4 linked regions of the Alligator mississippiensis genome follow. The protein of the gene in region 3 purifies or fractionates together with the protein of the main gene of each other region. This does not show direct contact. Links are inferred from orthologs where the notes say so. Each region holds a gene or a part of one and is shown on either strand. Other genes may lie near its edges. The genes, in order: AKAP9, AKAP11, PRKACA and VAPA.

Region 1 (7,730 bases), on a different chromosome or scaffold from region 3:
TGTTGACACTCCTAAAATATGAAATAAAGAACATCAGCCTTACATTCTGTCCTGTATCAATGCACAATTAGGAATATTCTTTCAGCAAATATAACTTACACCTAAATAACATGGCTGTCATCCCCCACTTCCCACCTTCACTATACTACTGTGCTGTGGTTAGCCTATGTACAGAAGTTTAAGTCAGCTACAGCTTTTCAGCTGCAGGACTGGTGATGTGTTGTTGGAAGTGGAAGCTAATGCTTTTAGATCCAGAAAATGCAAGCTTAATTCCTGCTGATAATGACTCAGCCAAAAGACAACCAGATCTCCTTCTAGTATGTTTAATTTTATAACCAATCCCTTCCATGCAAAATTACTAAAATAAAGTAAAAGGAGATATTCCAGGTGCAGCTTCTAAAGCTGGTATCATTCATTATTCCTGGGATCAATAGAAGAAACCAACTTGATTGCTATAGCTGCTGTTTCCCCTCCAAAACAGGCTCTTCAGGATGTAGAATAGGATGCATCAACCAGCCAATCCCCACGCTTAAAACTACCAAGCAGTGGTAAAGCAACATTACTCTGTTGGTACCCAGTTGTGCAGGCTTTATAATGTCAATCAGAAATAACTAATCAAACTATATCCATAAGTGTATACTTACACAAAGCAGTTTCATAAAAAACAGCTTCAGTGTTAATCCTTTGTTACATATTTTAGGATAATCAGTTCTCTCTCATAGTACCAAATGCTTGGTATGTTTTGTCAGAAAATAGATGAAGGGGCTATGAGAGCTGTTTAGGAGTGGGGAAGGAAGTTTTGTATGTAAAATAAAATTCAATTTTTTCATGAACTATAATTTTCCAGGTTTGTTTAATAAAGGAGATCCAGTTATAATACAACTAAATTGTTTGAGCTCAGCTGTTATTAATGATTCTTTATTTTTTATAATGCAGTAGCACCCAGATCAGAGCAGGCATTATTGTACTGTACAAACTAACAAAGACCCATTATCTGTCCTGAAGAGCTTGGGTCGTATAGCCCTGATCCTGATACTGCAGTCATACCCTTGCTTAACATGACACTAGTTGATATCAAAGGGATTATTCAGATGTCTAAACTAAGTATATGCCTCACAGTTTGTGCTATTGAGACTTAAATGCAAAAGCATGATACTAGAGTTCAAAGACGTGTTTCTACTTGGAAAATAAGCTCTAAACAGCTACTACCAAGTGGTCTTTTTATTGCTTATACTTTTTTTTTTTTTGTATTTTCTTTTTTCATTATTATCCACTTGTCAGAAATGACGGATACGGCCAAGGGAAAGGAAGCAGCATTCCTCCAAAGCGGCCAGGGATTTTTCATTTAAAAGCTTTGTGCTATTTAAAATGATGCCTGACCATAACTTTTCTGCCCACCGGTCAGGGTGAGCGAGAACGTGTGTTCAGATTGCCTGGACAGATGCAGGGTGGGGGAAAGTAGTCAAGAAAAAAAAATCAGGCTAATGAATGAAGTGAATATGCAACAGCTCTAGTAAGTCCATTCAGCCTAAATATATTGCTCTAAACCCACGTCCTCTAGTTTCATGCTGCCTCGCTTAGCAGCAATGTATCCCAAGAGTTGCTCTCTGATCAGCCCACCTTCCCTGTGCTCCGAGGGCAGGTCTGGGGACATGAAGCTCCCATCAAACAACTCCCCGAGTCAGGCGATGGCCAGGGGGCAAAGCAGCGCCTCCTTCCCCGGGATAGCGACTGTCCTTGTCCTGCCGCGGCTTCCCTCGGGTCCTGGCACACGTGCTTTCTGCTTCACTCGCCCGGCTGCGCCTCACTGCGGCCACGTGGAAAGCACAAACGCCCCAGGCTCGGTGTGCTGCCGGATCCCCACCCTCTGCGCTGTCTCTGGGGGCTAACCAGCCCACCATGCCTGTGCAGGGTGCTCCTCCTCGACGCAGGGTAAAGGTGAAAGCCAGAGGAAGAAGGAGTCAATTCTCATACAGAAGAAACCATCAGTTTCGAAAGGCTTGCATGTTATTCCGGTGCTGCCACCTAGCAGAGCTTCGTTCCCATTCAGATGTATTGGTTTTTTCAAACTAAGCCTCTGGACCAGGAGATGGCAGTGTAAGACAAACTGAAGTCATATTTTGGGAGCTGCAGTGCATTAAGCATATAACTGAATAGCACGCGTTCCCAACCTACTGTAATATTTAAGACTTCAAGGGGTAATAACTTTAAAGAGAAACTAAATTTAAACTGAATTTTTGGTGCACACCTATTTTTTTGACACGAAAAAAAAGCATGCGCTGCAGACCTGTACAAGGGAAGCTTAGTAGAATTTCTCTTCTAGTAGCAGCAGATTTACTTAACGATCAAGATTTGTAACTTGCAGGAGAGCTGTGTTGTTTTCTGACTGGTGACTGTTTTTAGGAGAACTTAATAAAGCAGGAGACAGTATTGGTAGCTCGTGGTGGTTGGTCTGTTACAAACACAGGATTTGTGTTGCAGTATTGTGTGTTATAATTAAGAGGCAAAAAAGTATCACTGACATAGGATACCACATTGATGCAGTTATGCATGACTAAAGATCAGTTTTTTCACAAGTGTTTTACCTGTCTTCCTTTAAAAGAAAATCTTTATTATTTGCATATCACTTTATCAGATGTAAACTGGATAATTTAATTACACGTTGTTCTTTTTTTTCTTCCCCCCCCCTTTTTTTGTTGCAGAAAGTAGACTTTACCTGCTGCTTACCCACAAAATATGTTCAAAATTGATCTGAGGATCAGATTTCTGTCTTGGAAAACAAAGACCTGACTCTAGTCCTTGGTTACTGAATTGGAAGTCTTTATTTCACAGATAAAGAATACAAGTATTAGCAACAACAAATAAAAATTCCCTACCCACCATCCCATAGTTTCAAAATCAAACCTGTTTTGGTTAACAGCGATTCACAGCTCTGTTGTATGCAAAGACTCCATCCATCTACGTAAGTTTGACATTGGTCCAGAACGCTCTTGTAGAGAATATGGGATGGAGAAGTAAGCCACTAGCATTCTGACCAGTGGTGACAGGTCTCTAAAATGTTTGTCAATAAGGTCTTGGGTAGCATGAAACAAGGAGCAGAGATGCTGGTATTGCCATCCATGTAGCTCCATCAAATTGCCTTTGTCTACGAAGTCATGAAGTAAATTAGTAAAAAAAAAAAACAATGTGTCTAGTGTTGTCATCATCATATTCACAATGGGGCCCAAGTATTTTCTTAAATCAGAGATTCAGAAAAGGCAAGGATTTTTTTTTCTTGATTGATTTTCATTTTATTGTAAAGAAAGCTTTACCTACCTTTACTGGACTAAAAGGATTAACAATGCATTAGGGTAAATCTTGTCCCTAGTGCTCAGTCCGACAACAGAACTCAGGGGTGGAGTAGCTTCAGTGGCTAGATCTGAACAGTATCTGATGCATATGCACAGTAATGGGTCCATTCCCTTAACTAACCTACCTACCTCTTTTCCTACCCATCCCTATATAGCTGTCTGGCACTGGCTTTGGGGAGCCTCTGTGATGATTCATAGGGTGTAGGAATGTGCACTTTCTTTACAAATTCTGCATACACATATACACATTGCCTGATGCTGACCCATTCAAGTTCTGCTTCACTTGAAACCCACTGTACCTGAGGAGGTGGGGAAAAATTAGCCACTAAGTACCCAGGCTAAGCCTCAGGTTCTTAACTGGATTTACAAGTTCTTCTGGGACCAATAGAGCATGGCATGTCAAGCCTTATCCTTTAAATAAAGGTAATAATACTAAAATGCATGGATTTTAGTGTGATGTAATGCTTTAGGACTAATTCTCATTATGAAAGTAATTAACTTCTACAAGATATTTTGGGACATCTTAAGACTTAAATAACTTGGGCTTATTAGCAACTGCAAAATTCAGTAAAAGAATCTCCATTCTAGGCACACGTTTTTCCAGATTTCTCAGTTGTGGCATCCTTTCTGATCCCTGGAGTTCCTCTTTACACATTCAAATGTAGAAATTCTAATCTACTGTGAAATATAATCTGCAGATATCTGAAGGGAGGCAGTGGGAACTGGTTGGTACCTACTCTGGTAAACTAATTTCATTCCCCAAACCTACGGAAAACACATGGACATTGCCTTAAAGGTTATAAGAACTTTCATATTATTCATCAAAGTTTCATATTCTATTTAAAATTAATAAAAATAAATAAAATTAATAATTACATACATACAAAAGATAGGAGGAAAATAATATTGCTTTTTCAGAAATCAAGTACGTACAACAAGCATAAATGAATAGTATTCTAAAAACTTAAAGGAAACTGGGACAATTATGCATAACTCAGAGTAAAATATAAGTTTCCTGTAATATCTCTGAATACGTCAAATGATTTGCTATAGAAATTGATCTTCAGCACTTAGCTGAATTAGCAAATGTCAATCAGGTGCTCTAGAGATAATTAATTAATTACTTGTATTCCTTTCAGGCTTGCTTAAATTACCTTGCCTAATATATTATGCCTCCAGAATAAATTATTCATCTCACTAAACTTGTTCAGCTGCAGACCTTATGCCTCTTTTCAACTACAGTATTTATAGTAAAGCAACAACCAGCTCATACCAACAATATTTGCCACTATAATTGAAGGATAAGATATAATAATGAAAAATGTCCAAAAAAAGATATGTGGCGCTTACAATCTGTCAAACTATAAGCTGCACAACTCCAGGATTCAGAATACAAAGACACTCCTCTTCAGGGGGTATGTATTATTGCAGTTTTACAAGAGGTCTGTGCTTCTCTAATTGTATGAGTTAGTGATTCTTTTAATCCCTTTTAAACTAAAGAGAAACATGGTGGGTGTTCAGAAAATGTGAAAAGCATTTATTTTAAGTTCACACATGCACCTTTAAGGTTTGTGAATGAGTATGCTTGTATATATGTATTGAATGAATGCATGCATAGAATGGGGGGGGGGGGGCGGCACATGTTCAGATGCAGACTGCAACAGTCTATAAAAACATTCAATAAAACTTATCTTGATTTACAGAACACTGTGAATATTTAATAACAATAATAAATAAAAAGAGTCATATGCAGGAAGGAGTAGTATAGTGCTTTTGTTGGATATAGCTTGTAAGAATGGTGTTAATTTACAACTAATGTAGAAGCATCAACACACTTTTGTGACTTCCCAAAAATTAAAATGTTATGTTTCCTTCCTTCCAGTCCAAACTGTTTCATAGGCTTAGATTGTTAATTGACTAAACAAAATATGTAAACAGATAAAAATAAAAATGTGGTTAGGAGACCTTGATCAACCACTATATTAATCACAAGCCACAATGTATGTTTTTAAACAAACCTTGTCATCTTATTCAAGGGGGGTAGAATGCTCAGTTTTCGCTCTTCAAACTATCTCATGTCCTAGCCACTCGGCTTCCCTAGCAGACTTTAACAATCAAGCCTCTAGTATTAATCCTGTCAGAAATTGTACTTCAATAAAAATTTGGAGGAAGAGAGTATGTGCAGAAGAAATGTTTATCATTTTAAATAGAATATTCTATGGTCAATAAGTCAAATACTGCCTGAGATTTCAAAGGCCTTGCACCTATGTACACCAGGACTGAATTTGGCCTTATTAATCTATCTAGCAGTTATCTTATTAGGCTTCTGAAATAACAAACTTTACACATATTACTTAAAATGCTTCCCTACTGCAACCATGGTGACAGTAGCCCACAGCATTCTGGGATCAGTATATACATCAGTGCAAAGTAATGCTCTGCTGAGCTGTGGAGCAGATAGTAAGGGACTGAAAGGGGTGAGGAAACAGAACTGGTGTAGCAGACTGGCAAGGGATGAGGTAAGGTATTTGTCAAGTTAACCTCTTATTCCGTGTTTATTCTCATGCCAAAATGGAAATCATTTTTATAGTTACTGCAACAATCTAATGCTGGGTGTCTATCCTGCTCACTGAATTTCACTGTAAAACCTCCACTAGTTTTTCAACAGAAGCAGGCCTTGATCAAATAGTGTTTTAGGGATAGTCTGTTCTCAAATATCTTATTTTTATATGATATCATTCACAATTCTGTTCAGTCTATTCTTTTAGGTGTAGGCTTTGTACAGCACATCTCAGTGTAACAATAGAAGGGTGGGACTGCATCCATCAGAGGCAGGGAGCTAGCATGCTGCTAACTGACTGATACATTCATTTATATGTGTACACTCACATTTTTCAGCGCAAACCTAAAATAGGAGAGTTGTCATATTGGATGGCAGGAAAACGTTCTGATTTGCAGGGGGGGCATAGTCTTACAAGGCAGTCGGTTCTGAAACAGTCGTGTAGTTCATTTAGGATCTTTTTCCTTCAATATTTTATTTACTATACAACCCATGTATAGTTGGATTCACAAACTATAGCCTGGTATTAAGCTATCTGTCTCTGGTAAGTCATCACAGTATCTCGGCATTTAGCTTTAGGCTTCAGTGACAAATGTATCTGTTTAGTTCAGGGGTTAGCAATTGATGGCCCCTGGACCCAATACAGCCCATAAAGAGACTGTATCTAGCCAATAAAGCTGGGATAGTGGTAGGAGGAATTGGCAGCATTCAGCAGTAGAATAATTGGTCGCACACGACAGCAGCTAGATCCAAAAAACACCTTTTGACTAAGCTCTGTTAATTCAACCAGACACTGCTAAAAGGCTGACCTCTGATCTAGTTCCTTGAAATTCTAGAACTTCTGCGATTCATTCGTGCAACTGAGCAAGGATACACTCCACAATTGTAACTTTCCACCTGAAGTCCTTTCAGACTCTGACTACAGCAGGCTGTAGCAGAGGTGAGATCATCCTATTTTCCTTTGGTTTCTAGCTGGCAAGTAAAACTTCATCTCCACCCTCTGGCATTCCAATTTTTTAAGGTGTACCAGGGAAAACTTCACAAACCAGCAAATAGAAGGCAGGCTGGAGGCAATGAGGAGGGAGAGATCAATTGTTAGGCAAAGTTGTGTGTCCTGATGTCCATAAGGAAAGAGATTAATGCTGTTGCTTTGCACAGAACCCCTTAAGGATAGTCAGCTTTGATAGTCAAAGTTAGTTTTAATGATGTTTATAATAACTGTTGCTTTGTTTTTAAAAATAAATAAATGATTGAAGTGCTGATTTACATTTACTTACGTTGGTCAGGGAATCTCGGATCTAGATTTTAAAATTTGTTTTTATGCTAAAAGTTTAAAGCAATTTACTCATTTGTCTACGGCGTGTACTCAAGAAAGACTAGTAAATGAACCAGGATTATTAAATATTGATGAACTGAGGGTTGACCCTTAATCAAGCAGTGTCTTAAATTAGCCAGTACTGATCGTCTTTCATCTGGGAATAAAAATATTTCTACAGATCAAACTTTAAGTGGCTAAATGGCTAACTGAGTTGTAAACCTACAGACCAGCTGACTTAGTATGAAGTTATATGAATTTCCACTCTATAATTAAAGCAAGAGATGCGCTCTTCTGTTCCTATAAAATTGCAAAGGTTCTCTTCCCATCCCCATACACACACTACTGTATTAGCATTAACTTGCAAGATTTAGGAGGGAAAATTGAATGATTAAGTGTTATCTCTTTAAAAGGAGGGCAGCACACCTCTTATTGAACCAACTGCATGGTTAGGATAGATTGTAGACTTGGGTATCACAGTACCCTTCCTAGGGTGTCTAGAAGA
Region 2 (7,797 bases), on a different chromosome or scaffold from region 3:
CTTTTTTCATTTGCTGACCCCTAAAAAATTTTGAATGGAGATGTGGACCACTTTGAACTGCAAGTTGACTATGATCAATCAAAAGTATGTGAATACTCATCTTTTGCAAACACCTTGGACAGTCTAGAGACCTCCAGGGGTCCACAGACCACAGGTTGAAAGCCAGTTTTAAGCAGTTTAAGCAGCCTTCATACCTTTATTAAATCATATTTTCAAACCAAAAAAAAGGCACCAGTCATTGATGAGGGTAAAGTTAAGCCAACTGCAAGTTTCAAAGAGCAACCCCTTTAGCTATAGCACTGTCTAAAGTGCAGAAAGATTTTGTTTCAATAATTAAACTGTCTGCCTGGTCATTCATTGCCAAAACAACTGAAGAAGCTGCCTAAAAGTAAATTTCAGGGAAAGACCAATCATGGAAAATCTTCATTCAGATTCTCCACCTGTCAAAAAAGTTATGTAGAGAGATCATTCAAACTCTTCTGCAATCTTAGCAAAAATGGATATCATTAAGAACCTGTGTTCTTAATGATCCTATTCTGGCAATAGAGTGGACTAGATAATTCAGTGGGCTCTCTGTCCCCAGGTTTTAATGTTTTCTTCAATGTTTCATGTGACTTTTAAATCAATCATCATGGCCAACACAGTTAAGAGCCTTGAAAAATTGTTTTCACACCCTTCCCCCCTGACCTATAAGTTGCCTCCATAGTAACCAGAAACATGGTGAAGTGTGGGAAAGCACATCACCACAGCAGAGGTTTGATGTGTTATTCACATACCGCACATCCACAAATAAGACACATAGCTTGTTTCAGGGTGGCAGAAGGAAGGGAGAGAGATTTTTCTAGTCTTATCTGCCACAGCACAGGCTTACCCAGGGCTGAATGCTCCAGTAGTTCAATCAACTCTACTCTCCTTCCCCCAGCTCCTTGGCCAAAAACTAATGCCAGTTTGGCAGCAGGTGACAGAGGATTAAACCTGCAGCTCTTGGCCCTGCAGCAGGAGGAGGAGAAAGGGATGACAGGATTGCCACCCTGCTCCATGCCACCAATGTTCAGCCTTGGGTGACCTGGTACTGAGCATAGCCCCCTACCACCACTCCTTCATCCCTTTTTTTGCCATAATAGAAATAGCCATTTTGCTATTTGAAAAGTCCATTCTGGAATGAAAATCAGTTTGTTTTTTTTTTACTTATGCCAAATGGAGGCATTTGTCTTGACTATAAATTGTCAGAGGAATAGGTGTGCTTGAATAAATGACATTTATTGTATACCTCAGTTTTAAAAGGATACATTATTTTCCCCATGACAAAATTGATACCAAGAGAAATTTTTCCCCCACTGAACAGTAGATAGCCATTATACCATTATTTGTAATTGTAGATTCAGTAACTTCACCTTTTGAAATACTTTACAATGAACCTTGTAAAAATATATGCTCGTGTTGCATGTTTAAAGAAGGAGTTATTTTTGCAGATGTCATTATGCCTAGACCTGCTGGAAGATTTAAGTTCAAAGATTCTTCTCTCCAAACTGCTAACAAAAAAACCCAAGCAAACAGGAAAAAGTTTATCTTTTATTCACTGATGTATCGTCATGGAGTTGTCAAAAACACTGAATTGCAGCCTTTATTTTATACAAAAACAAAAAAGATTTTCTCAATGTGCAATTGACCAAATGTCAATACGGCTACAGAAAGAACAAACAAATACCTTAGAAAAAAACACCAACAGCAAATTAAAACATTGAATTAAATCCCTTAACACTTACACATCTTTAGTGTATAACCTGTACGTCACACCATTCTGCCATTTAAAAAGTTAGCAAGACTTTATTTCATAACAGTTTCCCCTAGAACTGCTAGCTACTTCTTCACGCTTTACTGCAATAGATAAAGGTTTTTTAGGAGGTGTTCTAGCTATATAATTACCTGATAGAGAAATAAAAATAAATTAGTTACTTGGCTTATACCTTATTCAAATGTTAAAAGCAAGCTTTTTTTGATTATGGCAAATGCCAAGTCCTCGGTTGCTGATAGCAACCAAGTCAAAATTAACATGGCTATTTTTATTTACTTTTTGATGGTGAACCATACGAACAAATATTCGTTACCCAAATTATGTTACAGAACTAGTACAGAAAGACATAAAACCACACAAAATATCTGATTTCTACCATTTTTTCCAGTTTCTCTTCACTTAATTCTTACTTTTCCCTCAACCATAATAAAAAACACACTTTCTAACCGATTGCAGAGTTATCAAATGTTTGCTTAAGATAAAGCATATGGGGATGATCCTGCTTCAGGCTGGGGGTTGGGCGACATAATCTCTGGAGATCCCTCCCAGCCTGACTCCTCTATGATGCTACGAACATGCTCAGAAACACGGCAGATTTATCATCTCAAATTCTCAGAGGCCTTGAAAACATGATCACAGCAGAACAGAAACAGTCCATGCCTTTTCTCCTTCGACTAAAGGATGCCAACTGCACAGGTGAACACAACATGGAAAACATGCGCTTGGCATCCCTGAAACAAAAGCATAATAATTGCACACGGACAAAGGTATCACTTAGTCTAAACCCTTTTTTCTTTTGCCTGGAGTAACATTTTCCACAGAAAACAAAAACAAAACAAGACACCGTTTTGAAACTTTAAAGAGTGGCAATGTCTCAAGCTAATCATTGGGGCACCGGATGACACCTGTCTTCTTCCTCTGAGGGGTCGGACCCAGTGGGAAGCTGACCCCATTTCCCCCCAGCACTGAGCAGGTTGCAGCCGATCCTACACTGGGCTCGGGAACCTGGCGAGAAACAAGGGCAGGGCGTAGGGCTGGAACAAGCCGGGTTAAAAGCTGGATCCCTCCAGCCCTATAGCCCACCCATGCTTCTCACCAGGTTCCCGCGCCTCGTTCAGGATCGGCTACAATCTGCTCAGTGCTGGGAAGAAATGAGGTCACCTTCCAACTGGGTCTGAACCCACAGAGAAAGAAAATAGCAACGTCCTGTCCCTGCCACCCCAACGATTTGCTTGAGACAAGTTTCAAAGAGACGTCTCTTTTATTTTCAGTTTTTGCTGCAAAATATGACTCGGGGCAACAACAAAAAAGAGAGGGCTCGGACCCAGCGGTACCTCCATCCACGTGCGAGGTCGATGCTCCGGCTGCAGGACACCGCGCAGGGGGACGCTTGGAAAACCGGGGCCGGGGGTAGGTCCAAGAGCCCCAGCGCCGCCGGGGCCGGGAGCGAGGTGGGGGGAGGACAATGCGGCTCTCGGCCGCCGCCCCCCCCGGGTCACAGACCAGGCGCACAGGAAGGGGCGCGGGCCCCGCCCCTACCTGGCTCCTCAGCCTCGGCCGCCCGCAGCCATGTCCTGTCTAGTCCCGTCGTCACCGCCGCCGCCCCGCCTCTCGCGAGGTTTGGCCGGGCGTACAGCCCCGGGGAGGACCACGTGCTCGTTTCCCTTGCCGCCTATTGGCTGGAGAATGGTGGGGCGGGGCGAAGCCCGGAGGGATCCACCGCGAGATGGGGCAGCGGCCCGCCCCCTGCGGGTGACGTAACGCGAGGGCCTCCAGCACCCCAGGACACCCTGCGCCCGCCCCTCCCCCCGCCGCTGCGCCACGTGCCCAGGGCCCGCCCCCTGCCCCGGGGGGCAGGTCCTTGCCCCAGCGAAGGTCTGATTGCCGGAGTGCGGGGGGAGAGATGCTATGGCACCCTGTTTGATTCGTGCTCCACCCAGTGCTAAAAACCAAGCTGCGGAGAGCGGCAGGCGTGTTGGGGTAAAGGACATGGACGGACAAGGGCCTTTGGCTGGATGTGATCTTTTGAGACCAGTCTGTGGTAGGGGTACCACCACTGGTACGCAGACAACCTATCCCGCTTAACAGATTTGTTATAATTATTTTATATGACAACAGTTTGCTGGTGGTACTTAAGATTGCATCATTTTAAACTGGTGGTGTGCAACCAGTCAGAGTTTGGGAATTGCTGTATTAGACCAACTAAATAGTTGGGGAAATTATTCTTTGCAAGTTATCATACAAATTTAGGGCTGGAAGGGACCTCAAGAGGTCTCGTGCATCCCCCTGCTCAAAGCAGGACCATCCCCAACTAGATCGTCCCAGCCAAAGCTTTGTCTAGCCAGCTCTTAAATACCTCCAATAAATGGAGTTTCCCCCACCTCTCTGGGTAACCTGTTCCAGTGTTTTACTACCCTTCTAGTGAGAAAATTCTTCCTCATATCTAACCCAAACTTCCATTCCTGCAACTTGAGACCATTGCTCCTTGTTCTGTTATCTGTCACCACTGAGAACAGTCTCCTGCCATCCTCTTTCAAACCTCCCTTCAGGTAGCTGAAGGCTGCAATTAAATCCCACTTCAAGTCTTCTCCAGACTAAATAAGCCCAGTTCCCTCAGCCTCTCCTCAGAAGTCACATGCTCCAGTCCCCATCACCATTGTTGTTGTCCTCCACTGGACTCCCCAATTTGTCCACATTCTTTCTGTAGTGAGGGGCTCAAACCTAACACAGTACTCCAGATGTGGCCTCACCCGTGCTGAATAGAGGGGAATAATCACTTCCCTTTGACCTGCTAGCAACTCTTACCAATACAAGCCATTAGCCTTCTTGGCAACAGGGGCACACTGCTGGCTCCTATTCAGCTTATTGTCCACTGTAACCCCCAGGTCCTTTTCTGCAGAGTTATTGGGAACAAATATCTTTCTTTATGCCCAGAAGCTTGCAAAGAATGTTTTTTCCAACTTAGTTGATCTAATAAAAGATACTACATCTACCCAAAAACCTTTGTCTGTCTGTGACATTGGCAGCAGGCAGCAGCTGAGGGGGAGTCACCTGACTTTATGGCTCATTATAATACACCTGATTCCTTCGACTCTGCCTTCTAGATGCATTAACTACCCTCTGTCTTATTTTTTAATGCTCTTGATGTCTCGGTAATCAAGCTGCTGCTTCTGCCACTAGGGTGACCACCCGTCCCCTAATTGGGCAGGACAGTCCCAGAATGGGATCATCATAGTCCCGGCCCCAGGCTGCACGACTCCAAGTCGCTGTTTGTCCCAGATTTGCAGCAGTGTCTCGGGATCCAGGTTTCTCCTTGCAGCTTGGCAGTGTTCCAGCTTGCAAGGGGCTGCTGGGAACAGGGTGCAGGGGGCGCCACGCACACCTGCACATGGACAGGAAACAGCCAGCCAGTGTGAGGAGCAACTCTCTGCAGGTAAGTATATGGGATTGGGGGGCGGCAGATCGAGGCGCCCATGGTGAGGGAGAGAGTGGGGCTTGGGACACTGCCCAGCCAGGGTGGTGCATGGGGCCCCTGGGCTGGAGCAGAGCCACAGGCGGCTCATCCAGGGGGAATGGGGGAGGGTATGCATTCCTTGAGGGGAGCATGGTGTGGGGATATACCTCCCAGATTTGTGCATGGGGCAGATGCTGCCCACAGCAGGTTCAGGGCTCCCCCCTGCTGCCCTTCCCCTGGGAGCCCCATGACACCATGGCAGCAACCAGGGTGGCAATAGTATGCAGTTGTTCCTCCCATTGCTGCTAGGTGGGCAGGGGATGTATGGCCAGTGCAGGGCTCCTAGGGAAAGGGTAGAAGGCTTGGGAGCCCCAAGGCCACAGCGGGCAGCCCACCCCTGCCCCGCTCACCTCTAGTCCAGCCATGCCTCCAGCAGGGGCAGGGGACAGGGTTGAGGGCATGTTTTCCACCTTCCAATTTGGAAAAGGCGGTCACTCAGTCTGCCACTGGGCTGTCTGATCATTGCTTCTCTCAGTGCAGATACTATTACACCATTTTTAACTCTAGTAAAAAACAGTAACTGAGGTGTGGCTATAACTTTCCATGAAGCACTGGATGCCTGGTTCAAGATGCTCAAGAAAGCTAGGTTGCATTTTAGGAATCTGGGGAAAAAAATCATAACATGATCATAAAACAAGTAGGGAGTAAGCTGAAAATTAACCAAAAAGAAGTTCTGTCTCACACAAGGTGCAATTAAAGTGTGGAACTCATTGCTAGCAGATGTTGTGGAAGCTGACTGTTTAGCCAGATTCAAAAAGAGGATTGAACAAATCCTTGGAGGAAACGGGCATCGGTAGCTATTGAGGACAGGAGTTAAGGATACAGCCTCTGAATTATGTCTCTAGTGGGTTATGGAATAGAGAAAATCCCACACAATTTACTGATTCGTTTTGATGCACTGGCTGGGGGAGTAGTTAGTTGATTGCACGATTTCACAATGATTACACACTTAATTCATACAACACAATTTTATTTTTAAATTCTTTGCTACGCATATAACACTGCTTAGCTTTAAGAAATACCACAAACATTAAGAACACAATAATTACATATATCAGAAACAATGCTCCGAATGCACTGCCTTCCCAAACAATGCTATAAGAATTAGTATTACAAAAACAACTACAATTACAATTAAAAGTTAAATTTGAATCAATACTATTATTTTTCATAATATACTTACAATCCTAGAATTCCAAGAAGCCAAACACCTAAATATGGTTTCATTCCTCAGCAATACGATTCAATGGGCTGGCCTCAGCAGTGATAGGACTAAGTCCCCTTCCTTCAGTCCCTTTCAGGTGCTCTGCGGCTTCAGCGTGAACTAAGAGATTCATGTTCACGGAGAGGGTGGTTCAGGTGATCAGTCTGATCCGGCCTACACTTGCGATTCTTCCTTCGTTGTTCTACAAGTATAGTGACCTCCAATTTGGGAGAGTAATTTACAGTTTTTATTGAGTGAGTTACCGTCTTGGGCTCCTCCTATTCAAACCTGTCATTACCCCCAAATTCGGGCTCGGATCTTACTCAACAGATTCTTTTGCTTAGTAATTAATTTCTTTTGTTGATCATTTTAATTACTTTTGGGGAACTTCCATATCACTGCAAGTGACCTTTTCTTACCAATCTGGTCAAAAGGCTCTAGGGTTTGATCTCTCGGAACTCAGGATATTTGCTTAAGGGTCAATTTTCAGGTTCTCTTTGTTAAAGACTTGTAAAGATAAAATTCAAGAGTTAAAACTTTAAGCAAAGTCTGGATCTTCCACATGTAGTCCAAAACAATGACCTAGATAAGGAGATAAATCTTATCTTCTTCCTGAAACTGGCTAATGGGCAACCATTACAAACATTCAAACTATTTCATTCAATATGACAAATTAGAACTTACTATACCTTAAATGTTGAAGGCTGCAAATTAGAGAAGAACAACGGTGGGGGTGGGGAGCCTTGGTCATACCCAGCCTACTCTCTTTCAGCCTCCACTCTCTGCCTGTGTGACACTGGGAGACTGGGCAACACGGACCTATGGTCTTACCAGTTAATGGCATTTGTTATGTTTTAGATGTACATTCAGTTCTAAGAACTACAGGCTTAGAGGAGCAACATGTTTTAATTATTCTTCTTAGTTACATTTTTTTTAAATACATGTTGTATGCTATAGCAAATGAACGCATGTTCCAGTAGAGTTATATTTGTATTTGCTTTGATCTTAACTGAATAATATAGCTCTAGGCCCTTAGCATATTAGGGTAAAGTTTCTCATTTCTATTAATCTGAAGAAAAATAAGTGCTGGTTGTATATAATAAAGGGACCACACCACATACACCCTCCTTTTTAAAATTGTAGATCCACCGATGGATATAACCCATCTTCACAAGCGACAGACTGCTTACTACCCATTTACATGAACCATGGGGCCCAGCCACAGCTGACGCACATGTACTCCACCACAACTATGAACAACACCTGCCCCAATGGACCACACAT
Region 3 (8,501 bases):
GCAGGCAGGAAGGTAGAAAAGCCCTTTCCTGCCTCAATTTCCCTTCTTGCCCCTATCTAGCAGCTGGAGGGGCAGAGCTGATCAGTGAGGGGTTGGGAGGAGGGGTGAGGAGCAAGACTCAGCAGTGCCTTGGGGCGGGGGGCAGGGGGTCCCTGACTGAGCCCCAGGCTGCAGCAGCAACTGGGGCAGGAAGGACTGACAGGGCCTGGCGTCAACATGTGACATCAGCCAGGGCCTGTGACAACAGAAGCCTGGATCAAATACAGTGACCACCCCCACAACACCCGCCTCCCCTTACCATCCATGCCAGGGACCCCGGCATCCTGGGCCCTGGGGGAATTGGGGGGCGGGGGGATGCCCCAGAGGATGTTGGGATCTGGCAGGGGCTGGATGAAGACTTTGCTCCCAGCAGGGACAGCAAACATCCTCCACCACCCTGCCCTCCCAAAAGCCACAGGGCCCTGAGCCAGCCTGGGGTGGGGAGGGGGTGAGACTAGAAACCCTGCAGCTGCCAATTGTCCCCTGGGGATCCCCGCCCCCCTATACTCCTGGGTATTGCTGGTAGTGGACCTGCCTGCTTTACCTGAGAAGGGGAGAGAATCCAGGTGTCCGGGCTCCAAAACCCCTCCCTTCTCTATGCCATCCCTCCCAGAGGTGGGAGCCCAGATACCTGGGTTCCTACCTCAACCGCCTCCCCTCTCGACCTCAGGGCCTGCTCCCAGAGATGGGCAGGAAACCCAGGTGTCCAGGTTCCCAGCCCTACCCTGCTTCAATCATTACCCAGTAGGGCCCCTCCCAGTGCTAGGGACAGAACCCAGGTCTCCAGGCCTGCCACCTGCCCAATCGATCAGGACAACAAACCAAAGAATGAGCCCAGGAGTTCAGGTTCCCACCTCTGGGAGGGTTGGTGTGTGATAGGGGCTAGGTTCAAGGCAATCAGACAGCCTGCCCCCCCACCCTCCAAGAGGGACCAGCTTGAAGTACCTATTATCACCCCCAATGGCCCCATGCTATTCCCCCTCCCACCCCACACCAGCTAGACTCAGTGGTGGTTCCCCACAATCAGCTCCAAGAGAGCCAGGCAGCGCCAAAACCACCCCCTCACCCAAGCCTTCTGAAGACCACACCTGTCCCCCCCAACATAGGGATCAGTGCAGCCACCCCTGGGATAGCAGTCAGGTTACTGCCCCCACCACACCACACCCCCAGATGCAGCTGGTTTGGGGGGCAAATGGGGCCAATAGCAATGCAAGCCATAGAGAAAGCCAGCCATTTGCTTGGTGCCAAAACACAGCTCCTTCTGGGGGGTGGGTATTGGGAGAAGGGGGGCATCAGCCAACAGCAACATGACCTGGTGAACCATCACTGGAATGGCACCAAAATGCAGCTGGTGCTGGGGGGGGGGGGGGGGGGCGAGGAGGAACAGGGCAGCAACAAAGAGCAAGCAACCAGTTCACCCAGTGAAAGACTGCTCCAATGGCACAAAAATACAGCTGGTGCTGGGGGGAAACAGGGCAGAGGATGAACTGCCAACAGCAACATGACCTGGAGAACCAGCACTGGAGCAGAATAGCATTAAGATGCAGCTAGTTCCAAGATGGAGCAGCATCATAGGATGAAAGGCCAAGAGCAACACGACCTGCGACCTGCCGGGAGCTGAAATGCAGCTGGTTCTGAGACGATACAGGGCAGGGGGGAACCATCCAGCAGCAAGGGGACCCACAGACACAACCACTCAGCTAGCACCAAAATGCAGCTGGTTCTGGGGAAGGAGGTAAATGGCTAATAGCAACACGACCCAGAGAGATAGCCACCTGTTCACAGCCAAATGAAGCTGGTTCTGAGGTGGAAACAGGGGAAGGAGGTGACTGGCCAACAACATGCCTTGGACAAGCCATAGCTTGCTTGGGGCTGAAATGCAGCTGGCTCTGGGGAAGAAGCAGCAAGAGTCTGGCAACCTGAAGACCCATCCTTGCTCACAGCCAAAATGCAGCTGGTTTTGGAAGGAAACAAGGGAGGGGGTGAAGGGTAAACAGTACTAGTGCCCAGAGAACCAATCACTCACTCAGGGCTGAGATGAAGCTGGTTCTGGGGGGGAGCAGGGCAGGAGGAACAGCCACCAGCAACGTGGCTTAGGGACCTGGTGCTTGCTCACTGCCACATGAAGCTGGCTGTGGGGTGAAGGGCAGTGCTGAATGGCTGATAGCAACAAACCCTGGAGAAGCTATGGCTCACTGGGGACTGAAGAGAGACTGATTCTGGGGGCAGCAGGGCAAGGGAGAACTAGCCAACAGTAACAGATGCTGGACTAGCACCAAATGCAGCTGGTGCTGGGGGAGAAGCAGATCCGGATCTGCCCAGTCCCAGGCCTTAGCCTGGCAGGATCCACCTCCCCCCCATCCCCGAGTTTCCATTCCCTATGCCAGCCCCAGCCATGGACAGTGAAGGACAGACACCATGGCCTTGGGCCTGGAAAGAAGCAGCCCCCCTCTCCCCCAATCGATAAGCCACAGCCAGAGGGACCTGTTCAATGGGCGATGAGGCGGGAGCCACCCCCATTCCAAAGTACCCAGACAACCCTCCCACAGCCAAGAGAACCCAGGGGTCTGGGCTCCCAACCTCCCCCTGCTCTATCCACTATCCCAACCCCACTCACTTCACCAGCTGGGAAGAGAAGCCAGGCATCCCAGCTCCCAGCCTGGATGGGTTCCAAAGCCACCAAAACTCTCCTTCCCACCCAAAGCCCCCTATGGCTTGGGGGGGTGGGAGGGAAGGGCAGGCAGGGGGTTTAAAAGGGCCTGCACAACACTGGCAGGTGCCTGGCACTGCTATTTTTGCCTGGGTGCCCATGTCAGGGGCCACTGTCACAGCCTTGAGTATCCAGTGCCCCTGCACTCCCCTTCCCACCTCCCCTCCCCCAGAGCTGGAAGAGAACTCAGGTGTCGGGGCTTCCATCCCGATTGCCCTAAACTAGATCTCATTGATCTCCCGGCAACTGGGAGAAAGCCCAGGTGTCTGGCCTCCCAGCCCCCTCTCTTGCTCTAACCACTAACCCCCCAGTCCCTTTAACTGCCAGGGAGAAAACCCAGGTATCCTGGCTCCCAGGTCCCATCTTTACCTCTAACACATCAGCCCAGCCAGCCCAGCTGACAGCCAGGACTCCTGTGTTCCCCAACCCCACTCTGGGCCCGTTTGCCAGCAGCCTGCCTCAGTTTCCCACTATGTGCAGCAAGTGGGGGGGCACTGGTGATGATGCTCTTGATGGGTCCAAGCTGATGGGGCAACAACATGGCAGGAGAGGGTCATCCCCCTGACCCCTCCTCCATCATTCTGATTTACCCCCCACTGTCCCCCCATCTGCCCCATCCACAAGCCCCACTCACTCTGCTGGTTCCAGGCGGCTGCATGCTCTGTCTCAGGAACCCTCCCTGTGCTTTCAGGATCCCCAGGGTCCCCCCGTGGACCCCAGGAGAAGATGCGCCCGGCCAGGCTCTCCAGCCTCTGCAGTGCCGACATCTTGCCCCCCTTGGCCTTGCTGGGGGTGGGGCTGGGGCCAGCTACCTCTGGCCCGTGGCTCATGCTGGATCAATGGCCACTGAAATGTTGGTAGCCGCAGCCATTCCTGGACTGCCCCCTCCCCCCCCACACACCTTGACACAAAGGATTGGGGGCTCAGCTGGCAGCTACACCAGGGTCCATCCGGCCTGGCTTCACTGGAGTTGGGGGCCTGGCCTGGCACAGGGCCCTTAAGCCTGGCTTCTGGGTGCAGAGATCTTGGCACCAAGATGTCAGTCACAGGATGGCTGGCGAGTTTCACTGCTGGGGTCTCTGGTCTGGTCAGCCTCAGAGCTGCCTTGATCAGGATTTGGGCAGTTTTGGGGTCAAATTCAACAGCTGCCCTTGGCTGGGGTCTGGTCAGGTTCACGATCTGCTTGGGGGAGTCCAGTCAGTTTCACAGCCGCTGGAGTCTGGTCAGTTTCAGGATCAGCTGCTGCTTGAGGGTTCGGTCAGTTTCATGCTGCTGGCTCCTTTCCAGCCTGGGGGGGGGGGGGGGTGTCCCCTGGGTCCAGGGCTGGAGTCCAGTCAGTCTCCCAGCTGCCCCCCCTGGGGCTGGTCAGTTTCAGGTCAGTTAGGTTGCCTTGGACTGGGGTCTGGTCAGTTTCCTGGGAGTCGATCAATTTCTGCTGATCAAGGGCTGCTGGCCTCCAGTCAGGATCACAGTCAGGTTGAGGGCTGGGGTTCACGGCTGCTCCCCACTCCAGGGGTCCCCCCAGGTCCAGGATCAGCTGCTGTTTGAGGGTCCTGTCAGGTTCAGGGCTAGAGGCTCCTCCTTTGACTTCCATGGAGCAGACACGTCACAGGCATGAAATAGTCACAGGCATCAAATAGTCGCTCCAGCTGGAGGGGGCAGGGGAGCCCTGGGTGGGGGAGGGGGGGCAGGGAGGGGACAGCCCCCACAGTGAGACCCCTCCCACCTGCAGGCCCAGTGCCCTCTGGAGGCAGCTACTAGGGTTGCAAGCCAAGGGGAAGAAGTAGGGGGGTTCCTGATCAGCTCAATCCAATCACCAGCAGCAGAGAAAGGGGCAGCAGGTCCGTGAAGAGCTGCCCACACTCAGGCTGCACCCAGCTCTGGGGTGGGGCATGGTGGGGGAAGCATGGAGGCTCCTTGACCTTGGAGAGTGGAAGCCAGGGCAGGCGGGAGCAGAGGCCTTTCCGTGCCAGGAGGCAGCAGTGGGGGAGCCTCGAGGCCCCAGTGGCTGCAATCAGGGTCCCCCTGCACAAGCTGGGGGGTGGTGGGTGCGGGTAGGGGCTGTTAGCGCTTCTGTCCCCTGCAGGAGCCATGGAGGATGTGGCCTAGCAGCCGCCCCAGCAAGTGCAGCCACAGAACGACCTGCAGCCAGAACTGGAAGTCACTGTCGGTACTGGTGCCTGCCTGCGAGACCTTGCCAGGGGCTGCCTCCATGGTGCCCCCCCACTCCAAGGCTCAGCTCCACCACCCCCCAGCACAGATCACAGCACCCTCCCCTGTTGCCAGACCCCTCCCCTGGCAGCAGATCCTGTGGCCAAGCAGGCTGGGGCGGTGCCAACCGCTGGGTATTGTTGCAGGGAGGGACCCCAGGGACCAGCCTGGGGAGGAGGGCAGGCACAGCGCCAGGTGCCCTTAAAGGCATCAGCGCCTGCTGAGGTGTTAACCTTTTGGGAGCTGGCACAAGCTAGAATGACCCCCTCCTCTACCCTACCAGTGCCCCCAGCTCCAGTGGTGGGGAAGGGCAAAGCCAGGCAGAAGTCTGCAAGTCTCAAAGGGAGAGAGGGAAGGAACCCAGGAGTCCTGATGGACCCACCCACCACACTGCCCCTCCCCTATCAGAACCTTCACCCTCCCCAAGCACCACCAGACCCCCAGCGGCTCCCAGGGCCCAGGAGGGAATCCAGAGGTCCAGGGTAGATGGGCACCCCTAGCCTGGCCAACCTCATGGAGCCAAGGGCTGGCAAGAGTCTGGAGGCTGTCAGAGGGGTTCAATGCACTCCAGAAACCCCAAGCAGAGGGCGGGACTGCAGCAGAAGGGGAACCCCCCAGTCCATGCCTGTTTGAGCAGGGGGGAATATTCCTTCCTGACCCCAATGTAGTGACAGGCTGAGCCTGAGCTGCAACAAGATGTAACCAAGGCCCTCTGGGTCTGAGTTCACCCCCATCCTGGGCTACAGACAGCACTTGACACTGTTGAAGGAAGAGAGAAACACCTAAACCCCTATAAGCAGCAGGGGTGGGGAAGAATTCCTTCCTGGCCCCACATGGCTGCCAGAAGAGCCTAGAAGCCTGGTAAAAAAACAAAACAGACCCTGACTGTGGGTCTCCGATCACACCTAGCTGCCCAGGCCTCTTCTCAGCCTCCAAGGCCAGATGGGAGTCAATCAGGGGTTTCCAGCCCCCTTGGGGGGCCCAGCCCACAGGCTTAATGCCAGGTCCATCATGACCCCCGCACCTGGAAGGGAGGGTAACAGCCTATCACTGCTCCACGCTAAACTGCCTCATTACACCCACACCTGCCTTAGTTTCTCACTAGCAGATGAGGTCCCTGCCTCCCACCCCACACAGCGACACCAAGACCTCCATCATTAACCACATCACCTCAACAATGTATCCAGCCCAACCCCCTTCAGGAGGCTCCTCCCACCCACACATTCCCATGACGACCACTGCTGGGGGAGGTCGGTAAATTAAACCTGTTTGGGGCTGGGGTGGGGCCTCTGGGACCCAGGAGTCCCCTGGAGGACCCCCATCCCTTCCGCCCCCACTCACCGCCTGCCTCCATCTTGCCACTTTCTGCTGCCCTGGGGCTCGGCCTACGGTGCCCTGGTGGGGTCAATCTATTTGGGCCCAAAAGCCTACTGCTGCTGGAGGGCTGGGCTGGGTTGAGCCCTCCAGGGTGCCGTACAGGGGTTGGAGGGACAGAGGCCTCCTGGGAATGCTCCTCTGGGGAGCCTGAGTTTGGTCAATAGGCAGGGAGAGAAGCCCCTGATCTGACCCCTCTGGGGAGCTGTAGATGTGCCAAGCGAGCCTCTGGGTGCGACCCCTCCTGGATGCTGTAGCACGGCCAACAGCTAGGAATGGAAACCCAATTTGTCCCCTCCGGGGCACCACAGATTGGCCAGTGGGTAGCAGGAACCCCTAAGCATGAGCCTTCTGGGGAGCCGTAGACTGGCCAGTGATGGAAACCCCTGGATATGACCCCTCCAGGGAGCTGTAGCTTGGCCAACAGCTATGAATAGAAGCTCCTGGTTTGCCCCTTCTGGGGAGCCATAGGTTAGCCAGCAGGTGGGAATAGGAACCCATCCTGCCTGACACCTCCGAGATGCCATAGATCAGCCTGCAGGCAGGGATGGGAGCTCCCAGGCACAACCCCTCCAGGGATCTGGATTTTGGCCGACAGGTAGGGAGGGAAGCTCCTGATTTGACCCCTCTGGAAAGATGTAGACAGGCCAAGCAGGAGGCACGGTGGTGGTGTGATCCCCGTCTGAGGGCCAAACTATGGATCTCTAGAGGGGTTATTCCCAAGTCACAGTTCTCCCCCTGCGCCTCTGTACAAAACCTCAGAGGGGTCAGCCGAGCCAGGCACAGCCCTCCAGCAGATAGAGGTGCCGAGTGGGGGGTGGAAGGACAGGTGGTACTGGGCTCTGATACCCACAGGGGCAAGAAGGAACCAGGGAGGTTGGGGCAGCACTCCCCGGGCCTGCACTGAGGGGGACCAGATTGGGAGGCAGACTGCAGGGGACAAGTGCCAAGACCCCAGAACCCAGGTGATCTGAAGCCTCCCCCCCACCCCCATCCCCCTCATCAGGGGGCAGTGACCAATCAGTGCATTTTATGGATAGGATCCAGTAATAAACAGCTGCCCCCAGGCCCCTTAAAGAGACAGTGTGAGATCTGGCATCCATGCTTTTTATTCCCCCTCATACTGAACTGAAGGTGGGTTTAAAGGGGAAACAAGCTGCAGCTTTCCCATGATCTCCTGGGCCTGCCACAGCCAAAGATGAGCCTGGGACACAGGCAGCCCCACTTCCTGTCCCAACATACTTCTGTCTGGCAGGTCTCACCAGTGTCTATTCAGCAGGGCTAGAATAAGGCAGGCATCAGCTACTAAGCCTGACCACTGCCCAACCCATGGCTCCAGGGCCTCCATGTCCCCCTTTGATCTAGTCCTTGCAGCCAAGAAAGGGTTAAACCACAAAGGAGCCAAGCATCCAACTTCCTGTTTCCCATGATCCTCCCTGTGCTCACTCCCCCCCCCACAAATGCAGCTGCCTGGCTGTGATTGGAGGGAACCAGGAGTTGGGGTGGGGGTGGAGCCAGGAGGCCTAGGTTCTCCGCCCAGCAGTAGGAGGGCAGTGGAGGATGGTGGGTTAGAAGAGGTGATGAGAACCAGGACACCTGGTTCTACCTCAGCTCTGGGTGTAATGGTTAGAGCCAGGGTGTGCAAGTCAGGACATCCGGGTTCTAGCTTCCCCTATGGGGGAAATGTAGGTGATCAGCTTAGGGGAGGGAAGGCAGTAAGGATGCCTGGGTTCTCTTTCCCAACAGATGCCACAGATCCTGCCCATCCCCACCAGGGGCCCTAGATCACAGGGATGAGGGCCACAGAAGGGCAGGCTACATTAATGAGTGGGAGGAGGCATGGAGAGGAGTGTGGGCTGGAGTGGGTGCCCAGTACTTCCAGATGGGTGGGTTAGAGACATCTGTGAGCTGGGGGCGCCCCCTTCAGGCTCGTACTTGCTGTTGGCTTGGGAAGTGCTTGGCCCTGGCCTGGAGAATACGGCTGGGGGGAGGGGAGGGGTTGTGACACCATCATTGGGGCCCTGGCAGCTGCAGGGCTTTGCAGAAACCTCCCTGCCTCAGTTTCCAGAAACAAGGGGGACACCTGGGTCCCCAACACCAGCCCTAGGGGCTCTGCAGAGACAGGTCCTCCCACCGAGGGAAACTGACCAGGGTGGCAGAAGGCCCT
Region 4 (7,668 bases), on a different chromosome or scaffold from region 3:
ATGTCAATTAATCCCCGAATTTAATCATACTATAAACATATATTTCCATATTTTTTTAATTCCAAACAAAACAGTGCATTTGCATTCATATTTTTCTCTGCAGGATTTGCAACCCAAAGAGTACATAAATTAGCTAATCTCGCTTCAATTTCCAAACTGAAAAAAACAAACTAACTTAATCCATCAAATAAATTTTTAACATCCTAAACATTTACATCTTAAGTTACTTTTTAATTTACTTCCTCTACAAAAATGGAATAGTCTTGACAGAAGAGAAGATACTTGCTAATGCTTAAAAACCCTCAAAATTAAATATGTTGAATATTCAACAGGTTACGTTAAACAGAATGTGAAGGCAAACTGAAACAGGCCATAAATGTTTCTAATAAATATTGACAAAACAACTGACTTGTCAGTGATGAACACTATATTTTGAAATAATTTTGACAGTAGAGGTAAAAACACACCTCATTGCAAGGTTTAGCTGGAGCTTACAGATAAAAAAAAAGGTCTGCCACCCAAAAAAGTAACTTAAATACAAGATATCCATTCTTTTTTCCAACTTCTGAATATAGGTGTATTCAAAACAAGTCTTTATCACTCTAAAGAGTAACACGTTGAGATCCTAAGATAGCACTAGAGAGATTTAAAAAGAAACTTGTAGTACCAATATTTAAGCAGGTGACTTTTTTTAGAAAAATGGAATATATATTTTTACCCTCAAGAGATTCATGGAGTTAAAATTACAGCTTCTTCAAATGGGTTTCACAGAACCAGAACTCCAGATAAATGTATTTTTATCACATAGTTCAGGTGAAAATAACCTATATTAAAGATAACAGATGTTCCACTTTCCAATCTAAAAGTTTTTAAAGCAAATAATGCATTTCAAAATCTACTGTAATCCTCTAGTTATACTTTCCCAAATCTCAATTTGTATACTAAATACTTTAGTGTAAAATAAGGGAAATGGCTCATTAAAGGCACTAGCATGGTTCACAAATTAAGAAACAAACACACACACTAGACCAGGCTGCAAGAGAGACAAATTTAAAGTTCTCAGCTCTGCCAGTGATACACTGAGACGATCAGGAATTCATTTCACCTTTGTATCTGGTTTTTACCATTAAGTTTAAAGAAAAAATAATTAAAATCATTTTGTAAAACATTTGGAAGGGAAAAACCATCACATAATGAACAGACGAACCTGATTAATTTTACAAACTCACAGAATTGGCTATGACTGACTATATGAAGAAAGAGAACTGGTTTTATGCCATTCAAGCACGGGGGTTTTAAGTCAGACACCTGTAATGACTACAGATACTAGAAACAATGGATTTTAATCTTATTCATGGGAATCATTCCCAAAACACAGCAATGATAATGGGATGCTTTTAGACCCTTCTGAACCAAATTTTACTAAGTCTGGGGGAAAAAAAAGGGACCAAGAGTTGAGTATGATTCAAGCTATTTGTCAGTGGTCAAAGGTACTTTGTCTCTATAAAACTCGTAAGTGGATTTCTGTTTGACATTAGTATTTTCTGGAATGCCATTAGTAATGCGATAGTACTTTGCTGAGTGAGCCACTGGAAAAATCTAGGCAAATCAGTTATAATCACAAAAACAAGAGTTTACCAAAGTTACCCAACTTTTTGACACATTAGATTTGAACCAGCACACATTTTACAGGACAATGCCTCTTTCCAATCTGAGACCACATGATTTAGAGCTTCACTCTGCCAACACCTTACAGTCAATGTTAGTTCATTAGGAAAGAAAGAGTTGTTTTCAGTATGCACACTGAGCAATGAAATCAGACAGGTATGTGCTGGGATAGCAGCATGTTGGAACAGCACACAGGTCTACGTGAACTGATGTACTGATTTTCCGCTACACATCTAAATGACTGCACACTGCTGTGCTTCAGAGCATGCGCGTGCTTTCACACGTGGCCTTCCACGAAAGCCTTCCCAAGACTTCTAAATGGAAAAAAAAATAGCTTCCACTTACAATTCGTACTTCTGCTGCTCTAGTGGTTCATGCTGAGAGTATTAATTAGCTTGCTCCTAGGCTTCATGCGTACCTGGCCGCCCAATAAGTCAAGGACAGCAAGTCTTAAACCCCCCCGCATCTGTTTCTCATCCATTAATGCTGCTTCCTTTCAACTCGGGAGGATATTCTGCATGGACAGGCCTACGCTACAACGCCGTGACCTCTGCTTTACTTTGCTTTAGCATACACCCGCCCTTTCTCACCCTGCCCTTCTCGGGTAAACCCAGCACCCAGGAATCCAGGAGACGGTGCAGCTGCGCTACAGAGCAGCCAGTCGGCATTTCTGAGCCAATTCACTTGCGAGATCTCAAAGGCAATGTTGTCACCAGATGGACGCCCAGTTCCTCCCGCCCTTTTGGGGCTGCAAAGGGGCAACTTTCCAAAATGACACTGCCCAAAATATTCCCAAAGGGCTCTTGGCGTGGGCGGGAGGGGGCATGCGTGCAGCGGACTGCTCGGGGGAAAGAAGTTTTCATCCCAGACTCTGCCCTCGACGTGGCAGCACCTCCCCCCCGGCGCCTCAAGGGAACTGCCCCCAACTCATCGCCGCCCAGGGCGATCCTCCAGCCTCAGCCTCGACCGCTCGCTGCGGCGGAGGCAGGGCCCAGAGGCGCCAGGGGAGCCCGCCCCGCCCCGCCCCGCCCCAGGGACCTGGCGGGGCTGGGCCGGGCCTAAGTAGCGCTGGCGGCCCCGCAAGATGGCGGCGGGGCCGCGTCCCGCTCTGCGCCCGCGCCGGGCTGGGCCGCGGCCCTTCCCCCACCCCGCCGCAGTCGCCACCGCCGCCCCGACCCCGGCCGCACCTTTGAATTTGAGGTCGGTGGGCGGATCGAGCACCAGGATTTGCTCGTGCTTTGCCAGGGCCGCCGCGGCCGCCATCGCGCGCGCTGCCTCGCTCGTGGCCTCGCGCCCTCACTGCGGCGGCAGTTGGCGACAGTAGGGGAGGGGTGGCGCGGCGGCGGCAGCAGCTGCGGGGGGAGGAGGTAGAAGGAGGAAGAGGGCAGTGGCGCTGACGCTGGGGCCACGGAGCCGGGCCGAGCCAAGCCGCCGCCAACGCCGCCTCGTCCCCGCTCCGTGCGCCTGCGCACGCTCCGCTCCTCTCCGCTCCCCCCGCCCTTTCCTGTCGGAACTGACTCAACGGCCCGCGTACTGCGAACCCGCGCCAGCCTCACCGCGGTGGGGGTGGAAGGGGGACACGCTGCGCATGCACCAACGAGCACGCGTGCGCGCTCTCCCCCGACCCGTGTTTGGCGTTTGACAGCGCACTCGATTGGGTCTCGTGCTGCCTCCGCCGAAGCGGCAGGGGGCGCGCGAGCTGGAAAAGAGCGAAACTCGCAAGGGAAAACTAAGGAAAGAACTGCGCATGCGCGACCTTCAAGGCGTAGGCTGCCGCACCCTCCAAGGACTGCGAGCCCCAGCATGCAATGTGCCGCCGCCGGACCGGGGGGCGCGGTGCATGCTGGGATTCGTAGTCCTTCCAGGGTCTGTACCGTGAGCAAAGCTGTTACCACTGGCGCCACTGAGCAGCCAGGCTAATCCTGGCCCTGAGCAGGGGCTGATGGAGCCCCAGGGGTGAGGGGCACGTCTCAGCCCTGTGGTGAGGGCCCAACAGTACACAGCAGCCCCTGTGGATTTGCCCCACCCTATACACCCCCTTCCAAGCTGCTGGCTCTGAAGGCCCATGTGCTGCTGCCTCCAGGCGGGGAGTGCATCACAACACCCACCACAGGCAGCCCTCCACATAGCCTACATCCCTCTGCCTGGGGAGAGGGCACTGCCTTGCTGCAGGGCCTGGAGGGACCTGTCCCAAGGGCCTCAGGCTGGGGTCACCTGTAACCTGCTAAAGGAGCTGGAGCAGAACGTGGAGATGAATGCAGACGGGGAGGCCTCTCCAAAGCCACCCTGGCCAAAAGCTCTTGTATGAGACTCAAAAAGCAAGAGCCAGCCTTTCTTCCTTTTCATTCTTCACAGCATAATGTTTCCCAGCACTGGCTGCAGTTAAGGGCTGGTGGAGGGTTTTGCATGTAAAACCCTTCCCCGCTGTCACGTACGCCAGTCATTCCTCCTCAGACCTGGTGACAGGCCTGTCTCGCCCACAAAGGGGTCATAAAATTAAATTAGTGGGTGGGAGCTTTAAAATTAACCAAAGAAAGTTGTCTGTCTCTCCAAACTGCTGCCCCATGCATCGGCAGCAGAAGTCGAGGATTAATGGGGCTTAGCCCCTCCAAACTAATTTTGTGGCGGCCAGTGACGGCAGTGTTGGGCTGTAACTCAAGCTCTACTTCTCTGTGGACAAGGAGAACTATGCGATTAACCACCAGCACTCATCTGATAATCAGTCAGAAGCTTTATTGACTACAAAAATATCCATTAAACACAGTTATATATATATTGCTCAACAAGCAGCAGCACCACAGTGCTGCCATCCCACAGTGCCCGGTGCTGCTTGGTGGGCAGCCAGGCCAGCGTCCCAAGCATTCTCAGCGCCGCGTGGCTTCACTGCTCCAGCACCACTGCCACACCCTGCTGCTGCAGCGCCACACCCTGCACCCCCACCACATGCTCCTCCACCGCCACATACAACACTAGCATGTGGTGGCCCTGCAATAGCCCTGCGTGAGAGAGGGGCAGGAGTCAGGCAGGCGTGCCCCACACTGCCCTGCACCACCCCCCTACACCCCACCCTACACTGACCCCCGCCCCCCAAAGCAGCACAGTAAAGCATCTTTTAAGCTTTACCCAACCCCTCAATTAATATTTTCTCCCATCACCTATGGCTCCATGTCCCTGCTGCCTGCCCCTTCCCTCCCCGCCCCCGCCCCCCCCCAGCCACAGATAAGTGGCAGGGTGGAAAGTCAATGGCGGGTGGTCAGGCTGTTTCTCCCTCACTTCCCCACAAGCTGTATGCTGTGGGTCTCCCCCACACACCCCACCCCGCACTGCATGGTCTTCCCCATACCTCCCCCACTGTGTAATTTCCCTTGTGCGTCCTCCATCACATGCCTTCTCCCCGCATAAGTCACCCCAGTGTGGGGCAGGCAGCTGCTGTGGCTCCCGCTTCTGCACCAGAGCCAGGGCCACACCAGCCCCCTGCCCCAAGATGTTACTTGAATCTATGACAAAGCTTTTTCCCCCATGTTGGTGGGGGGTGGGACCTCGTCTTAAAAACCTCACTTTTGGTTTTGACTAAATATAGTAATCGGTATAATCAATAAAAGTTATGTTGTCTACAGCCCTGATCCTGCAGACTTTTATCTATCTTAACTTTACATCCACCGAAAAAACAGGAACTGACACACACATTAACGTAAGCATGTGCACATATGCAGGGTAAGAATCTAAAAAGTTGTCACTACTAACACCCCAGCCTCCGTATGTTATAAGTCATCAAAAATTATCTATTACTGTTTTGCTGGGGTAGCAGACAGATCTACAAAAAAAGCTGCTTCTGACAGGTGTGTCTGGCTAATTAGAGTAAAAGTTTCTGGTTCATTTTATGTAGATCTGGAAGATTAGAGATTAATCATTTTAAAATTTAGTTAATATCCCACAAGGCAAAGAAATCGGATTTCTGTAGTAACCTTACAAATCCAGTGTACTGCAGGTATGATCTATGTTTGTATCTGAGCAGTCATATACTAGCTTAGCGTTCTTGTGTTTTATCTGAGAGACTATTCTATTTATTCCCTTTCCACTCAGAAAAAATAAACATCTATGGTATCACTGATGAAGTCCTTTGACAGCTAAGAGTTAATTATTTATAGAGTTACTGTGCAGGTGATACCAGTGAGAATCTGTTAGGTTTCAACATGCAACACATAAATTATGAATAAGTGAGAACTTAAAGATTTCTTTAAATTTTGCTTTGATGCATTGGAACGTCACGAAGAAATACATAAAGAATATTCTGTAGTTATTCTTGTTTTATAGACAACCATTAAAAATACACATAAAATTTTGACTTCATCACTCTCAATTAAATCAGCAATTTTTGTGTCCTCTGTACCTTTTACCAGGGATGATTTCATATTTTCTTCCAGATCATTCATAAAGGTATTGAAAAGCATTAGACCAAAAACAGGTCCCTTCAGAACCCCATGTTTTTGTGGTATTCCTTAATCATCCTATGGCACTAAATCAAATGTCCTCTATTAGGGTAAGTACATAAGACCAACAGAGTAACCTTCAGTAGTCAAACTTTGATTCACACAAAACAGTAATAGTTTGTCTGCCAAAACCCATTTTCCATAAATTAATAGTGATTAGCACAATACCATCAGATTTTAATTCTATTTAATTTTAATGTTATTATTAATGGCAAAAATTAATTTCAGTTGTATTTTTACTTCTGTTAGCAATGTAGAAATTAGTTTTTAATGACCTTCAAATGGCTAAATATCTATTCTAGGGATGCTTGGGATTCTTACATTTCACGCTGAGTTTCCAAGGTATTTAGAATAAATATAATTTTGCTTGTAATACTAACAGACTTGATGTGGATGTTTCTGTGATGCTAAAAAAATTGGGAACCCCAAATTCCATTTTTACTGTGTCAGTTTTTTAGAACTGAGCAAACTATTTAACTTTTCTTAAGAACTCTCAGATCGTGCGTTCTGAAAGTGTGAATCATGGGTTAGTAATTGAGTGACATAAGGTGTGACATTTATTCATCTTTTTTTCCTTTGTCTCCAATAAGAAATGACATTTTAGACCCCTTTATTTCTACTTCCTGAGGGAAAAGTCAGCTGGATGGAGTTTCCTGGATGACTCATTTGGGTTGCTAATTTAAGGTTGTGATAATAGGTTTCAGTAACACCTTAAACAATAGGCTGACCAAAAGGGCCTCTTGCCAAATGATAATTAATCTGACTTCAGTTCTATGGGAATAAAACTGGGAAAATCATTTAATGGAATGTCTCTTAAACCCAGAAAGCAGGAAATCACTTTATGAGATTATGACATTTGGTTCCTTACTCTTTATCTGGACAGTGGTAAATCAAGTAGGTTAAACTCAAGAGACATAGTCTTCAGCTCAAGACAACATCACCTCTTACATACTTTTCAGGTTTATTGTCTTGATCCTATATATCCTTTTGATAAGACTTGAATTGCTAGTGAAATCCAATCCATTCTTCCACTGTGCTATCAGGAGATACTAGATAACAAGGAAACAATGTTACTACAATTGCCTCACTTGAGTGGCTTGAAACAGCACAAGAATATTAAACAAAACCTGCTCTGCTAGAAAGGCCCACAAAGTGGCCAATGCTGATTGAGAGGACTGGAAGGATGGAAGCAGCAAATTCAACACACCTCTGAGCACCAGGAAGACCAAAAGGAACAAGACCCAAGTTAAATTTTCCAATAAAGGCACATCCTTAGCACTTTACATGTATTTATACCTTTCAGCACCTTATAGTAGGTTTGGAGGGTTGTAGTTACGATGGTCCAGTAAATACTCTAGAAAACTTGCCTGCATCTCTCCCAAACATACATTTTCATAGTAGGTAGGGTTGGAAGGGACCTGAGCAGATCCTCAAGTTCGACCCCCTACCATGGAAAGAGTACTGGGGTCAAACAACCCTGGCAAGGTGTTCATCTAGCCTCCTCTTAAAG

Evidence for each region.
Region 1: the proteins of PRKACA (region 3) and AKAP9 purify together in Homo sapiens (affinity purification with mass spectrometry; 7 studies listed by BioGRID and IntAct, with this or other methods). This does not show direct contact. The link is inferred for Alligator mississippiensis from reciprocal best matches to the Homo sapiens genes PRKACA and AKAP9.
Region 2: the proteins of PRKACA (region 3) and AKAP11 purify together in Homo sapiens (affinity purification with mass spectrometry; 5 studies listed by BioGRID and IntAct, with this or other methods). This does not show direct contact. The link is inferred for Alligator mississippiensis from reciprocal best matches to the Homo sapiens genes PRKACA and AKAP11.
Region 4: the proteins of PRKACA (region 3) and VAPA purify together in Homo sapiens (affinity purification with mass spectrometry; 4 studies listed by BioGRID and IntAct, with this or other methods). This does not show direct contact. The link is inferred for Alligator mississippiensis from reciprocal best matches to the Homo sapiens genes PRKACA and VAPA.

The regions. Positions count from the first base shown.
Region 1 is NC_081828.1:176,118,869-176,126,598, reverse strand, and holds the start of AKAP9 (A-kinase anchor protein 9), read left to right. Parts: upstream 1-4,622; 5' UTR 4,623-4,671; coding exon 4,672-4,765; intron 4,766-7,683; exon of another isoform or gene 7,684-7,730. UniProt on the Homo sapiens protein: Scaffolding protein that assembles several protein kinases and phosphatases on the centrosome and Golgi apparatus. Required to maintain the integrity of the Golgi apparatus. Required for microtubule nucleation at the cis-side of the Golgi apparatus.
Region 2 is NC_081824.1:408,764,885-408,772,681, reverse strand, and holds the start of AKAP11 (A-kinase anchor protein 11), read right to left. Parts: upstream 3,410-7,797; 5' UTR 3,335-3,409; exon of another isoform or gene 3,130-3,334; intron 1-3,129. UniProt on the Homo sapiens protein: Binds to type II regulatory subunits of protein kinase A and anchors/targets them.
Region 3 is NC_081831.1:24,685,583-24,694,083, reverse strand, and holds the start of PRKACA (cAMP-dependent protein kinase catalytic subunit alpha), read right to left. Parts: upstream 3,578-8,501; 5' UTR 3,517-3,577; coding exon 3,384-3,516; intron 1-3,383.
Region 4 is NC_081826.1:95,451,086-95,458,753, reverse strand, and holds the start of VAPA (vesicle-associated membrane protein-associated protein A), read right to left. Parts: upstream 3,169-7,668; 5' UTR 2,932-3,168; coding exon 2,856-2,931; intron 1-2,855. UniProt on the Homo sapiens protein: Endoplasmic reticulum (ER)-anchored protein that mediates the formation of contact sites between the ER and endosomes via interaction with FFAT motif-containing proteins such as STARD3 or WDR44.